Drosophila melanogaster: one gene and its partner. The protein of the gene in region 1 interacts with the protein of each later gene in a pairwise test. Each region holds a gene or a part of one and is shown in the gene's direction. Other genes may lie near its edges.

What was found. Proteins that work in one complex are often made in the same cells at the same time.
Region 2: the proteins of Fas3 (region 1) and C901 interact in a two-hybrid assay, tested with the Drosophila melanogaster proteins (one large-scale study listed by BioGRID).

What each region holds. Positions count from the first base shown.
Region 1 is NT_033779.5:18,316,921-18,324,933, forward strand, and holds the start of Fas3 (fasciclin 3), read left to right. Parts: upstream 1-3,181; 5' UTR 3,182-3,767; coding exon 3,768-3,810; intron 3,811-8,013. UniProt on the Drosophila melanogaster protein: Mediates cell adhesion in a Ca(2+)-independent manner. It plays a role in axon outgrowth, guidance and fasciculation of the developing nervous system. Function in neurons is essential for adult survival, and is important for climbing behavior and activity.
Region 2 is NC_004354.4:10,963,526-10,970,305, reverse strand, and holds C901 (C901), read left to right. Parts: upstream 1-3,171; 5' UTR 3,172-3,238; intron 3,239-3,751; 5' UTR 3,752-3,753; coding exon 3,754-3,891; intron 3,892-3,957; coding exon 3,958-4,096; intron 4,097-4,156; coding exon 4,157-4,315; intron 4,316-4,523; coding exon 4,524-4,715; intron 4,716-4,786; coding exon 4,787-4,847; intron 4,848-5,050; coding exon 5,051-5,181; intron 5,182-5,239; coding exon 5,240-6,099; 3' UTR 6,100-6,274; downstream 6,275-6,780. Other genes in the region: vex (vexed), read left to right, coding at 838-914, 1,009-1,562.

The sequences.
Region 1 (8,013 bases):
ATTTTCCACTTTTGGACTTCTAAGCGCTTCTCATTTCAATAAACTCTTCCCATATTGTTTTTGGTTCGGTTCTGGTTTTGCGGACTTTATTTATTATTTTTTTTTTATGGAGTGAAGTGTCATGGAAATGACTTGCAATGATATTATACTCGTAATGAGATTCATTTCCAGCTTGACAGGTGTGGGAGAATTTCAAATGTAAGAACTTGTCATTTTGGATATGCAACATGTTTTTGTTAATTAATAAAAGCGGTTTTTTAACATATAAACATATATAACTTAAAGATTATTAATTTCCTAAATATTATTTACACATCTTTAAATGCATGTTTTTTAGTGGGGAAAACTTTTCCAAGTAGATAGTTAGCAGGCCGAAAAATGAAGAGCTAGGCCAAGTAAAATGGCATGCAAAGCAAAAATTGAATGCAAGCCTCAAAAATGTTCTATGTTGCTGGCTGCTTTGGGCCATCGCCGTTGTGATGCAGCCATCACATGTGGAGAATAGAGTGTTTCTGGAGCAGAAGGACTAACAGGAGCAGGAAAATGGCAAGGAGACCAAGGATGTGCCACTGGCGGGCGGGAGATGCCTCCTGTTTGTTTTTGCCGTCTGCTTGATGCTATTCCGGCTGCTTTTCCGGGGCTTTACACGCCGCACTCAGTGCTACGGAAAAGCTACGCCACCGAATCCCGTCCCGTCCCTTCCCGCCACCGCCTTCGACTCCTTCTTTCGCCATTCTGACCATTACACATTACGTATAATCATCATTTTGTGCTGGCAATAAACACATGCTGGCTGCTCTCAGCAGCTTGGTTCCCTACCCCTCTGGCTATCATCCCCAACCGATCCCACCATTCATCCCCCTTAAGCCCGCCCATGGACACGGGCACATAGCCGGAATATACAGTTTCCAGTCGTGTGCGCCCTGAAATCACAAACCTTATAGCATGCGATATTTTTATTGCATGCTAAATGCAAACCTAACAAACAAAAATATTAGTGGAAAAATTTAAGTTGAAACTAAATAAAGGGAAACTTCGCATACTGAAATGCTCTAACTCCACGAAAATATTTAATGTGTTGCAAATTTGGCTACGATGGTCAGATTACCACGGCATTTGCACCAAAATAAAAATTAGAAAAAATAATATTTTTAAAGATGACAGTTCGAAAACATCAACATTTATGCAGCTATATTTCTCTAGTCCACGCGACCCTATTTTCATCCAATAGGGTGTGCAATTTCTATGCATTTTTCATGGCTTACCTTTTCATAGTCCAAATATGGCCCCAGGCTTATTGAATGTGTGTGCTTTGATTAAATTTAAAATGTTTGATAATACTATTTGCTGCCTGGTTTTCGGGGGCAAACAGGGAGTGCACGATGGCAAGTGTAATAATGCAGAAGTAAATACATTATGGGGCAATGAATCGAAAATGGAAATCGCACAGGGTGAGGGTGCGAAAATACGGGTCACTTTAAATATTTCCAAGCTTATAGTTGTCCGGCGATGCGGCATTTCAGAGTTCCACAGGTACAGTACACTGTATCTCAATATTGATACACAAGTAATTTCGTACAATAATTTAGTTAAAGCAATATGTAAGGCTCTATAATTATTATGTAAGCTGTACGATCGCTCTATTTGGTAGCCATTACAAACTTCCTAAGTACTGCGTAGCTTACTATTTACTGTTCTCGCCATAAATCGAGCCTGCGTTTACATCATTCTAATCGAAGTGGGTTTCAGGTCACAGTCCCATTGCGGGCGATTCTGGGGATCTGGAACTGTGGCAAACACAGCGGAATATTTGCGGAAGAGGGAGCGGGAAACTGGGAACGGGAATCGGCAACCAGAACGAGGAGCCACTGTGCCAAAGATTCGCTCTCGGTCGGAATTTGTATGTGTGCCATTCGACAACACGACAGGCAAACAAAAGCCGGCGAAATCCAAGGAGGCGGCCGGCAAGGGGGTAGATTATCAAACGACAAATAGACAGAAATCCGGCAGTTGCAGCAGCAACGGCGACAGCCTGAAAGCAAACTTGGCCAAATCAACAACAACACCAACAATACCAGCAATAACAACAAGAGCGAAAGCTGCAACAACACAATGCACAAGAGCCAAACAAATTCAAATCAAACTAAACAACAAGAACAGCGGCGGCAGAAAGTATTACACTGTATGGAGTGCCCGTTTAAATTCTATTTACTTGCAACACATGTTTATGTCGATCCGAAATAATGTTTCTTTGTCCATCTAATTTATATTTATTGATTTGCCTAACCTTAACCAATTGGGTCGTAGCAAATTATCACGCGGTTTAAAAAAAAACATGCTTTCGGAACTTTGGGCCATTGATTCTACTGTTAAATGTACTTTTCATCTATTTAACATTAGATATTAAAAAATGGTATTAGGAATAAATCAATCCATTTGTGGGTCAAATACGACCTATTAACGGCTTCTAACTTGTAGATATTAGGTAAATAAATACTGTACAAACCCATACTCATAATATTTAAATTAGCACCATGCTAAGAAACTTTATTTGAACTCCAGTTATGACGCAAAGGAAAATAGAACACGTTAGTCACCTAAATTTTTCCACCTAAATAGATGTGTCATCAAAACCGGAGATGCAGGCTAAGCTCTAATGAGTTTGTTATTTTCAACAATTCACTTTACATTTTAAATTATAAGCAACAAAATACATATTTATTAGTGGAGCACACTGCAAAGACTGTTTTGCTAGGTAAACGTTGATTAAAAGATTATAAATTCCTAGCACCCACCCAATTCCCTGTGACCTAAATAATAATTGTAAAAATAAATTATAAAAAACTGCAGCTGCTATAAATTGAAACCATTATTTTTAGGTAGTGTGTTCAAGTCCATATACCCCCGTAATTTAAAAGTACCCTGTACACACAGTCGCTGTAAAGCGTAAACTAGAACGAGCAATGCTGCTAGCTCGTCGCGCATGTAGCGGCAGCAACATGCAGCCGCAACATCGACAAACGCCAGCAACATCCAGCGGCAACATGCAACCCCAGCGACTGCATATGTAAAAACGCATACGCCTGGTGTTCGCAGCATGCTGCCGCTGTCGCTGCCGCAGCTGGCGCCGACGTCGCGGCCGCTGCGCTGCCCATGTTGGCAACTTTATAAACACGGAGCGGATTCAGTCGTTTGGTAACTGTTGCTCCTATCAGTCGTTCTCTGTCGCTCTTGGATTGCGTGGGCACATCGGTCGTTCGGCATTTTGGGTTCGGCATTTCGGGATTTGATATCGTTATTCGTGTCGGAATCGTATAAACCTGCGTCCGTGTGCGTTAGCCGGCCATTGAGCACTATCGCTGCCACTGGCATTTGGCCCACCGTGTGTGTTTACAAGTGTGGCATAATCTTCGATTAGCGCAAACCAACCGATCGGATATACCCCTTGAAAATAACAAATAATAGCGAGGAGTTAAAAAAGCATCCAAACACACACTGCACACCCCAAAACACACACACACACCCACACGTCACATAAAAAATATAAACCAGAGCCTCAGCGGCCGTAAAGTGCCACCAAAACGTACTTGGCCGTATATTTTATGCATGAAAAGCTAAAGCAAGTGCAACCAAACGCCTGAGTGACACCAAGAAAAAAAATTCATACACACATATAAGGAAACCCAAAAAAACAAAACCGGGATTACTTATACGCTCACGCTCAGTAGAAAAAATACGCGAAGCCAAAGGAAGTCAGCAGCAAAATCATGTCACGGATCGTTTTTATATGTCTCGCAGCCATCTTAACAGGTAAGAATAAACAACGGCTCAGAGGAAAGTAAAGCCAAAGTCGCGCTCATGAGATGATATCACGCGCTCGTTTAAGACCCGCGCAAATGTGTGAAAAAGTTTAGCTTACTCTCAGATACCTATGTATATGAATAAAAAGATGCTACCCAAAAACGTGTTCTCACCTCGAGCTGTATAAAAATATCATTGTTGAACGGCAAACTTGATTGATGAGAAGACATCGCCCCGCGGGGCTGTGGAAAGTGTTGTCTTTATGAAAGTGATGATTGAGTGAAAAGTTCCCTGTCATAATATCCATGAAATTGATAGTTCCTCCTCTTTTGGCGGTTGACCCGGTTTGGTCCATAGCTCCAACTGCGCATGCTCAGAGTGTGACCGAAGCTGTTTTGAATCTGTGTCCGTGCCAAGTGTGACCTTTCGCATCTTGGGGTACAGCTGGCATTTGCCATGCGCCAGCACAGGTTGAAAAGGTCAATTACACTTTGGTCTTCTATGGTGAGTCCAACCAAATTGGGCTTGCCCGAAAGATCTTCGCCGCAGATGATTCACGGATCGTTTATTTTAATTAATCGGTTTAGTAGCTGTTTTAATGGATTTTCTTTGGTTTTGTGTTCATACGTGATAGGGTTTGATAGCTTTGTGTGCCCATAAGAGGTTTGCTTGGTTTTATGACAGTATTAGACTGTTTAATAGTTGTACTTTATTGGAACCGACTTGTGATCAATAATGTGTTTTTGAAATGTATTTTGCCTTGGAATATAATTTTGTACTATATCAATACTAGTTTCCATATTTTAGCATTGGCCCCCAATAATGTAGAATCTAAAAAAAACCTTGTAGATGGTAATACGTCTCAATATTCGCTCCACTGTAATTAGTCTTTATTTGGCTCCTTTTTTAATTTATTCTAAGTGCCGCATCTTGTGCCAGCATGCATCCTTGAAATTAGGAGACAACATCAGCATCCACTTGAGCATTACTTTCATCTCTTTGTACCACGTACGAATGCGGATATAAATTCTATGCCATCATCAAGGCCCAAAAACGCTGTCGGTTCTATTTAATTAAAATCCTTCAATGTTTCAGCCGTGCTTATTATATTGTACCCTCTTATTACGTCCTTGAAGAGCGAGAAGGATATATGGGTGCAGAGCTAGCTGGGGAAACTGAGACAGATTTCTCATTAGCTGAAAAGAAGATGCTGGTTTATGCCAAAGCCTAACAACATTAACACAACACACGGCACATGAAGCTGTTGCTTTTGCAGTTGCCTCATTACTGCCACAGCCCCTCGGCAGATTCAACCGCCCAATGGTAAAGCCACCCCCCCCCCCACAGAACCACCCACATGACGTGACTTTAAGACAGCCGCGTTTTATTCAGTTGCTAAGCCTGCCTGGAACCTTTCAAAGGTTTACGAAAATGTAAATGCAAAAACTGCACACAAAAAACCAAAATAAAGTACACCAGGAAATCCACTGCAGGTTCAACCCTTCTCCCTATCTCTTTCCGCTGTCCAGTTGCCGTCTTTTTCTAGCAGGGCTTTGCCACTTCACACTGAATACTTTTACATTTTTATAGGACTGACGCATCGCAGACATCGCATCAGTTGACTGCCGGCTGGCTGTTGTCTTGCAATTATAAATGTTTAATGCAGCTCCGGCCATGGCACCATGGACCGTTTTTTCAGACGGGCATGGGCCGGAAATTTAACTATCCGACCCAAAGGATACGCTTAAGCGTGCAAAAAAGGACAAGAGTCTCAATAGTATTTAACAATATTCTATGGGAATTGAATTTCTTGTGGTAATAGTGTTTATTAACATGCGAATATTGCCAAACGATTTATTTATCGCCACTGTTTCTGGATACTCTCCAAATGTACTTAAACTTTAAATTACTACCCCTTGAGATAACTATCCGCTTTTTTTTAAATAAAAATAAACTCTCCATGGCATACTCCACTTTCGGAACTATATATGTATATGACCAGAACCCACATAAAAATCAACCACAATTTCCTTTGCAAACTTCCCATTCAATTTTATGGACGCTCTTTGTGCAAGGATATAAAAAAGGGATGAAGGAGACACGAACTGCAACATGTGCAGCATGTAAATAAGGCATTGCATCCAAAAACCATTCACAGTAATTCAAATGGCCAAAAGGAGCTGCAGTCGTGACGTATTTAGTTATGACTGCCTCATCTAGGAGCGAACAAAAAGCGGTCCAGCATTTATGCATTTTAATGGCCACCAATTGAGGCATGTTCTATGCTATATTTTGTACATACATATATCTACATACATATATGCCATCTGGTATGGTCACAAAAAAGATCCAGGCATTGAATTAAATACGTGCAGTGTTTGCCCAGTTTGCCGCTTCTAAATGTGACTCGTCGGACAGTGACTGTTACTGCGAACTGTGACTACTGCACCTATATCTATTCCTTTTGGTTTTTTGGCAATCCAATTCATACCACCCACTCCCGCCCATGACATACATAATTTTCAACTCTTTTTCTACCTATGGTAATTGCAATGGGAATCGCAGAGAAGGGCTAGCTCCTCCGTCTCTCATTCATATTCATAACATCGTTTCATTTTGGCTTTTTGCTTTGCTACCTGGTCAACAAAAAAGCGTCCGAGCGACCAACTGAACATTTTTGCAGTAACTGAAACGTTGCGAAAAAAGGACTGGCCATAGGACACAAAAGCTTTATCGCGCTGGGGGCTTTAGTTTACCAAAAGGTATTCCCCAAATGAAAAGCGGGAGTTTTCCCCGCTCGAAGGTGCGGAAGGAAGAATCGGTTAATTGCTAACGGGTTTCTTTCAAATGCCTTTCTTTGCCACTTTATTGTTTGCTTGGATTGTAAGTCTGTAATCAATCTATGATTTATAGTTGGGCGTTGTAAAATTTGTGATATACATATGCTGCTCTCACCTTGGCAAAATCAAAGTTGCCATGCGAATATTGTATTAATTTCAGTCAATCCATGCAGGGAAAATGTATTTTTAATATAAATTTACATAAATATTTGTCTTATTCAATTCTCATTATAATTAAAACTACATTGTCGGGCCAAAACTTTCAACGCTTATCCCTTTCCAAATGAATTGATTTGTTTCCTAAAATTTGCTCTATCATTTTTCAATTCGATTTTCCACATTGACACTTATATATATATATATTGCTGATTAATCGCCGGCAGCCAATTTTTATTTACAAATTTAGCAATTTGGGCGAGAGACAAATAGAAATGCACAATTTCATGACTAATTTGCTGAAGAATGACTGAACATTGTCAACAACAACTCTTTGCATGCATCCCTTGTATATGTGCATACGTACGCGTTTATCTGCATGTTTGTCTGTCTTTTTGTGAGCTTGTGTGCGTGCCCAGGAAGTTGGCATCGCTTTGGGCCATGCTGGAATTTTTGGGCCAAAAGGGTTGGTTGGAGAGAGAGGAAAGAGTGCGATATTGACAAAGCGTATGCCAGGCAAATTAAATATAATGGGGGATCTACCCTATTTATTCTGCTCCTCTGCCGCACGACAAAACAGTTGAAAAGACAATAAAGAAAGAAAAGCGGGAAAGCCGGCAAAAAGTTGCACAGCTTATGGAAAAGTTACCCGTTTTCCTCTGCTGCTTTTCGGGCTGCAACTGCAAACAAGTGTGTGTGTGTGAGTCTCGAGCACAATGAAGCGAACTTATGATCGATTCGGCGGCACAGAGTTGTCTTTATGAGCACGTACCAGGAGCGTGAAAACGTGGCCAAAATAAGGGAAACCGACACAATTGCAAATGGGCAAAGGAAGAAGTTCCAAATAATGCGCTTTTGAAGGTGTTTTGCAATGAAAAGAGACAATATAATGAGGATGGGAAATCCAATAAAATGGCTTTAAACACATTCTTGAAATCATAATATATAGAATTTATTTTGAATATCCGTTTAATACTATTTAAAGTTGATTCAGCGGGATTTCCAATATGTGTCGCACTAAAAATATATGTGCCCTAAATTTAAAGGGTTATCAGCACGTTCAATTTGTAATTCCCTTTTTATAAGTTACTTTCCCCTTGTAAGAAACCACTTATAAAATCTACTTCATTGTCAATATTATTTATATGAACGCGCACAATTGCGATGATAATTGCAATTATTGTTTTTCTCAATTTTCAAACAAATATTAGTTATT
Region 2 (6,780 bases), on another chromosome or scaffold:
GCAGCAGCAGCAGCAGCAGCAGCAGCCAGCGTATATTAGCTATATATGGCTATATCCACGAGTTTCCCCTCTTTTTTATTTTTGCCCTGGGGTTAAGTGGCCTGGCTTTCCGGTGGGTGGGAAAGTGGTAGGTAAAATCAAAAATGCCCCAAAATGTCGGGCACTTTTGAAATTTCCTACGCAATTTCCGTTGTCAACACCTTGACAGCTGTCAGACGCACACACAGACACTCTCGACACTCTTGCACACTTACACACGCACACCCGCACACCACACACTCAAAGGCACTTGTCAGTTCGATTTTTCGCCTGCCATGTTTGTTTTTGCTCTTTTTTGCCTAACGGAAACGGAAATTGTTAGGCTTAATAGACAATTCGCATTTCCTCTTCCTTTGAAGTCCTGTATTCAGCAGCCCGCTTCAGTCCGCACAATTGCACAAATCAGTGCTCCTGCTGCTGTTTCTGTCTACTTTGCGTCCGTTGATGGAATCTGAATCTGAATTACAATAATTGTAATATTTAACATCTCAATGGCCAGCCAGATCCTTTGCTCCTCTAATGAGGCGTCACCGAAGGACATGCATAATCAATGAAGGACCAAACGGACGAATGAATCGCTCAATGAGCGACTGAATGAGTGAATACCCAAATAAGCGAGCGTTTCGAAGGCGTAGGATGCAGATTATGAGGATGGATTAATTAATTAAGCATTATTTAGCCAGTGAAACCGATTTCATCTTTAAATCTATTTGAATGTTTTGCAAATTATTAAGATATTCGCATCTCTTCTTTGTATAATTATTAATAATTTGCGCTATTCTTAAACTTTCTTTATAGATACTGCGTGGAATTCGAGGTAATAAAATCATCTAAAGCCTGCAACAAGTTGCCGCCATATAACCTGATGACAGAAGGTAAGAAAAATCAAAGTAACTAAAGTAGTATTTAATATTTATGCAATCAAATGTGTAAAATAATATTTTGACTGTCTTGTGTTTTATTTTCCAGGCGATCGCATCACGGTGCGCTGTGACCTTGAGGCATTGATCCAAGACTCAGCCGGCAGCTCCACCACCGCCAGGACACCACAAGGACCCACTACGCCGTCCACGACCACAGTTTCATCCGCAGCCTCTGCCTTTGGCCAGCGTACGGATGACCTTGAGGAGGAGCGACTGCAGCGTGAGACCAGCAGCGAAGAGGAGGCGACCAATCAGGATGGCGAGGCGGAGGAGGAGGATGAGGAGCCGGAGCAGGATGAGCAGGATGACCTGCAGAATGCCCTGGACTCGGACAGCAACGAGAGTACCGACTACCGTCACCAGCGGCAGTCGCAGATGTCGCAAATGTCGCACAGCCGCCGGACAGCGGGAAAGCGCAGCGCTGTGCCGGCCACGCCCTCGCCCACGCTGCCGCCCACCTACCATTGCCGGGGGGAGGGGCTGGCCGGACGCACGACACGTTGGAGCGCGCTGCCGGCGCCGTCGTGCCGCGGCAAATGGCTCCGTCTGACCGTCGGTCCGCCCAAGAAGTGCGGCCACGCCCAGTTCATCTTCGTCTAAGGCGACGTGGTCATGCCGCCCACTCAAGTTGCGGTGTCCATTTTTTTTTTTCTCCGTGTAGGTTATGGTGTACGGTCTCCCCCACTCATCATATCATATCATATCACCCGCGCCCCTGCCACGCCCCCTCACTTCCGGCCCAAAATCAATAAAGTACCCCATCGTATGTAAGCGTTTAAACATTAAGCCAGTGGATTAAGAAGATCATAGCATATGTATGTATATGTATGTGTGATGAGGTCAGGATTTTTTTTTTTGTTTGTCTCGCTAGAGAAGAGAACCGGAAATAAAGGATACACTGCCAGTGAAATATAGGGTATATATGGAGGAATATCACATATTTCTGAAGTTTTCGAGGGGTTCTACAATTTCGGACTACTAACTTCTGCTCTCTTAGATACTTTATAAATTTAAAAAAAAACTTCCAAAGACTTATGATCTCCTCCACACACATGATATTCATCATATAACCATATTGATATCACGGCTGCTGTGGACTTCCTTCGGTTAGCATTTCTCTAATTAGTTAAGGAAACACTCGCGTGTAAGCATTTGGGCTCAGGACCCAATCAACAACTCAATATAAATGCTGGGGGTCTGTGAAGACGCTCGGATCTCGGATCGGATAATACTAGAAACTAGAGACTAAGTCATCAAATACCGCATAACATCTACAGTGAAAATGGAGTCGAGCTGCGTAGTGAAAGAACCTATATATACATGTATGTGGATGTGCACGAGTGTATCTGTCTAATCGTTAGTTCCCCCCGACTCGCAAGCATATAGCACACACACGTTCTACACATAACATAACATATATGATACATTTGTCAAAAGCAAATGATTAAGGCCCACAATTTTTGGTTACCCAACTGGCAGACAACCCTCTGGAGTCGGAATTAACGTTTGGATCTTAGTATTAATCTGGATTTTAGGTACACACGAATGTCGAAATAATTATTATAATTATAATTAAACCAATAATGAGATCATTCAATAAAGAACGAGTATAATTTTAAAGTAAACCAATGTTGTCTTTGAACATTTACCAATCTAGAGTCTTGAGCCATCCTGGTTTATCTACAACTTGTTTGGTGACTCGATCGTCAGTGCTGCACAGTGGGTCGAAAGTAATTGTAAAATAAAATAAAATAAATAGTTTTTGGGCATATAAAAAGAAACATTTAATAGTTAATGCTATTAAAGCATTTAATAGATTGGATATGTAGGCATATAGATCTTTATAGTATAATTACATTATTAATTTAAAATTGTTTCAGATTTTATTTATTTCCTGATTTTGTGGTACAAGTTTTCCTAGTTTTCTTCTTTTTCAAAGTGTAGAGTGGTCCATAAAAACCATATCTGGACCCACTGTGCTTGAGTACTCAGCTGTTTTGGGTTTACCGGTTGACCCAATTACCACCAATGGTCGGTTAGGTGCCTTTCAGCGCTCTTTCTCTGGCTTTGCCTCTCGGCTTCGAGGCTTGAGTTCACGGTGAAGGCCAGAAGAATGACAGAGAGAAGAGCGAAGACTTGACTTGACTTGACTTAAAGAAAGAGTCGAGAATCGGCCAGAGGCAGCTGGTCCGACGAGGCGGCTACTTGATTAGTCCCAAAGCGATCGCAGACCGAGACGGACCGACGACAAGAAGCTGCAGTCTTAACCGTTAAAAGTAATTCTTTTGCATTTGCATTCTTCAAGTTTCATTTCTTCTCGCCAGTGGTGATTCATCAAGAAATCGGTTGTTTGGTTGTCGGGTTCTCTGTCGGCGGTGTGATTCCCGTTCTTTTTGGTTCGGCCGCGAAGAAAGTTGTCTTCAAACATGTTAATTGCGACGAGGGGCCGTGGGCCGTCGATTTCTTTTAACGGTCTAAGTTTGGCCAAACGAAAACACTTTTCGTTTAAGCCGATAATCGAAAACATCTAGACATTTGACAAGGCCTACACTTAGGTTTTCTTTATTCAGTCATAAAGTTCAGCACATTAAGTTGGTTTAAAGTCTAAGAAACTTTTTTTGTGAAGAGGTCGTTAGATCCGACTTAGATGATCTTGCTTTTTATGTACACATAAAAGCCATTATTTGCAGGGAATTTTAACGGAGTAGTCAAACGTATAATATTAATAATATTATATTTATTAATAGAAACAACAAACACTTATTATATTATTATTAAATCGGACTTAGATATGTTGTCAGACAAAAAGGCGGCTCTCCTGCTGGTGACCGCGATTACCGCCCTCAAATTGGAGGAAATGAATGCCTATAGACGCAACTTCGATGCGCGGCAAAGTAGTAATTCGAATATTCCACTCTGGAAACAGCGAGTAAGTTGGAGAACCTAACGTTCATAATTTTCTCGAACCAATTCCGAAAATATTCGATTACCTAAGGCCTGTGAGAAATCACAGAAACAGCGGCAAAATGCACACTATGTTTGCGATGAAAAAGGTGACTTCAAGTGCCTTCCTGGGTGGCAGGGTGATCTTTGCCAGGTGCCTATGTGTCGAAGGGGCTGTGACCCGATGAATGGTATGTTTACTCCTTCAGATGATTCCCTATCTTGTGACCCCTGAACTCACATTCACACAGGTTATTGCCAGCGACCCGGTGAATGCAGGTGTCGCATCGGATACAGCGGCGAACTCTGCGACAAGTGCATTCCGCTTCCAGGTTGCCAACATGGCGGATGCACCAAGCCATTCGAGTGCATCTGTAAGCCTGGCTGGGCGGGACTCTTCTGCACGGAACGTAAGTAGTTACCGGAAAAGGATAAGCCTGATTACAATCTTACATTTAAAGAACGGAGCATTTAGAGAAGGAGTTAAAACATAGGGAACTAATATCGTTTTGGGGGTTGTACTTGTTATATGACATTTCCAATCAAATCAAACATTCCTAACTCTGTCCAATCCGATTACTCAATTGCCTGTTTCCTCCAATCCGCGCGCAACCAAAGCAAGTTGCCGTACCGGATGCCACAGCACCCGTGGATATTGCGAAGCGCCTGGGGAGTGCCGCTGCCGGATTGGTTATGCTGGACGCACCTGCTCCGAATGCGCCACGATGCCGGGCTGTCAGCACGGCACCTGCAACAAGCCACTGGAATGCCTCTGCCTACCCGGATATACCGGACTACTTTGCCAGACGCGTAAGTCCTGCAACCACCAAAGGAATCCGCCATTCACCCTACTAATCCCAAACTCCATTCCGCCATTCCAGCAATCTGTGACCCAGATTGCAGCAAGCAGCACGGATATTGCCGCAAACCTGGCGAGTGCCGGTAAGTAGGAGCAGCATTTCAATAAAGAAAATGCAGAAAATGTGGTTTCGGCAAGCTGGAGTGCCCCTTTTCGGATAAGTCAACTATTTTTATCCTTAATTTAACATTCCCAAGCATTATGGCTCAGTTAGCTAACAGCAAACTAACAGCAAAACGAACCCATATCTGTCATCAATTTTCACGGACATCCCCTTCTTCTCCAGCTGCAAGGTGGGCTGGACGGGTAGCCAGTGCGACAAGTGCTTCCCGTATCCGGGATGTGCCAATGGGGATTGCGAGGCGCCATGGGAGTGCAACTGCCATCCCGGCTGGGGCGGAATGCTGTGCGACGAGAGTGAGTATATCCGTATATGTGACCATGCCAACGGGAAATTGACCGAGTTGACCCACAGAGCTCACCTACTGCGTGGAGCATCCGGATACGTGCGAAAACGGGGGCAAGTGCACATCGCTGAGTCGCGAGGATGGGAGCTACCAGTGCCAGTGCCGGCAGGGATTTCTGGGCAAGAACTGCGAGATACGCGATGACTTTCTGCTGACCTCAGAGGCGCCACCGCGAATCACACCGCCCACACCCGCTGAGCTCGTACTGGAACTAGATGGCGAACTGGACCAGAACGGGCAGCAGGACATCGGTGCAGGTGTGCCCGATGACAGCGAGCCAGGAGGCGGGCTGGTTGGAGAAAAGTTGCCAGCGGGTAACGAGCCGGAGCGGCGGAAAAATGACACGGTAGCCAACGTGGCAACCGCAGGAACTGGAGCTGGAGCAGGACCCATGAATTCACTACCCGGCAACAGCAACGCCACAAGGACGACATTGGTGGTGGCAACTGAAACTGGCAGCGACAATGCGACTAATGAAGCGTTAAGCGCCGTTACAACGAGGCGTGCCACCCCGATTCCCCTCACATCTGGCGAAAAAACCGTAAAGGGTAATGCAACAAGCGTGTCGGTAGCGACAGGACCTCAGCCACGCCCCCCGCTGCCCATCGTCGCTAGCCAGGAGCAAACAATAGCAAATTTGGCGCCAGCTGGAACAGTAACAGTAACAGCAACAACAGCACCAACGGCTACAACAGCCGCAACATCCGTGACCAGCCACAAGGATAAGCCAAATGTGGCAGACGAGGAGGAGGACGAAGATGACGACGATGATGAGGAGGATGAGGATGGCGAGTACGATGAGGAGGAGGATGAGGACGAGGACGACGAGGAGGATGACAGCGATCAACTCATACCAAATATTATATAGTTAAGAACCTGACAAATGACAAGTAATCCCTCTTATATATATATACACATTGTTCAGTTAAGGGCCCACATATGCAGCATCTCAAAGCAATTTTTTTTTTTTTCTGAATATTTATTATTAACTAATGAATGAAACATCCAATTAAAAAACTCCATCCATTGCGATAGATATACATATATAAATTGTATTTATTTATGATAATTTTAGGGATTAAGCTAAGCAATTTTCGATTTAACAAATGTCAAAAAAAAAAAATGATATTATTAAAGTTTGCTAATCTTAAGTGCTACAAGAAATCGTTGAATCGAAATATGAATAGGGGACCAGAGGATTGGACTCAGAGCCTGTGGGAGTTCAATTCCTGCACTCGGATTGCACTTGGTTCGCTTAAACTTAAGACAAATGGGGGACTACGAGCTCGGGTTTGAATGGGGATCTATATGGCCATCTTAGCGCCACCGAGTTGGGGGTAGTACGATTGGATTGGGTATCGAAAATTGGAATATGGAAACCAGCACATCATAGACATCTAAACATACATATGGACTCTTGCATATGGGCGTTAATAAATATATGTAGTAACTGGTATGGGAGACTTACGAATCGACAAAAAAATATGTAGAAGTATGGGAGAGAGAGAGAATGACTCAATACAATATCGATACGAATAATAATAATAAT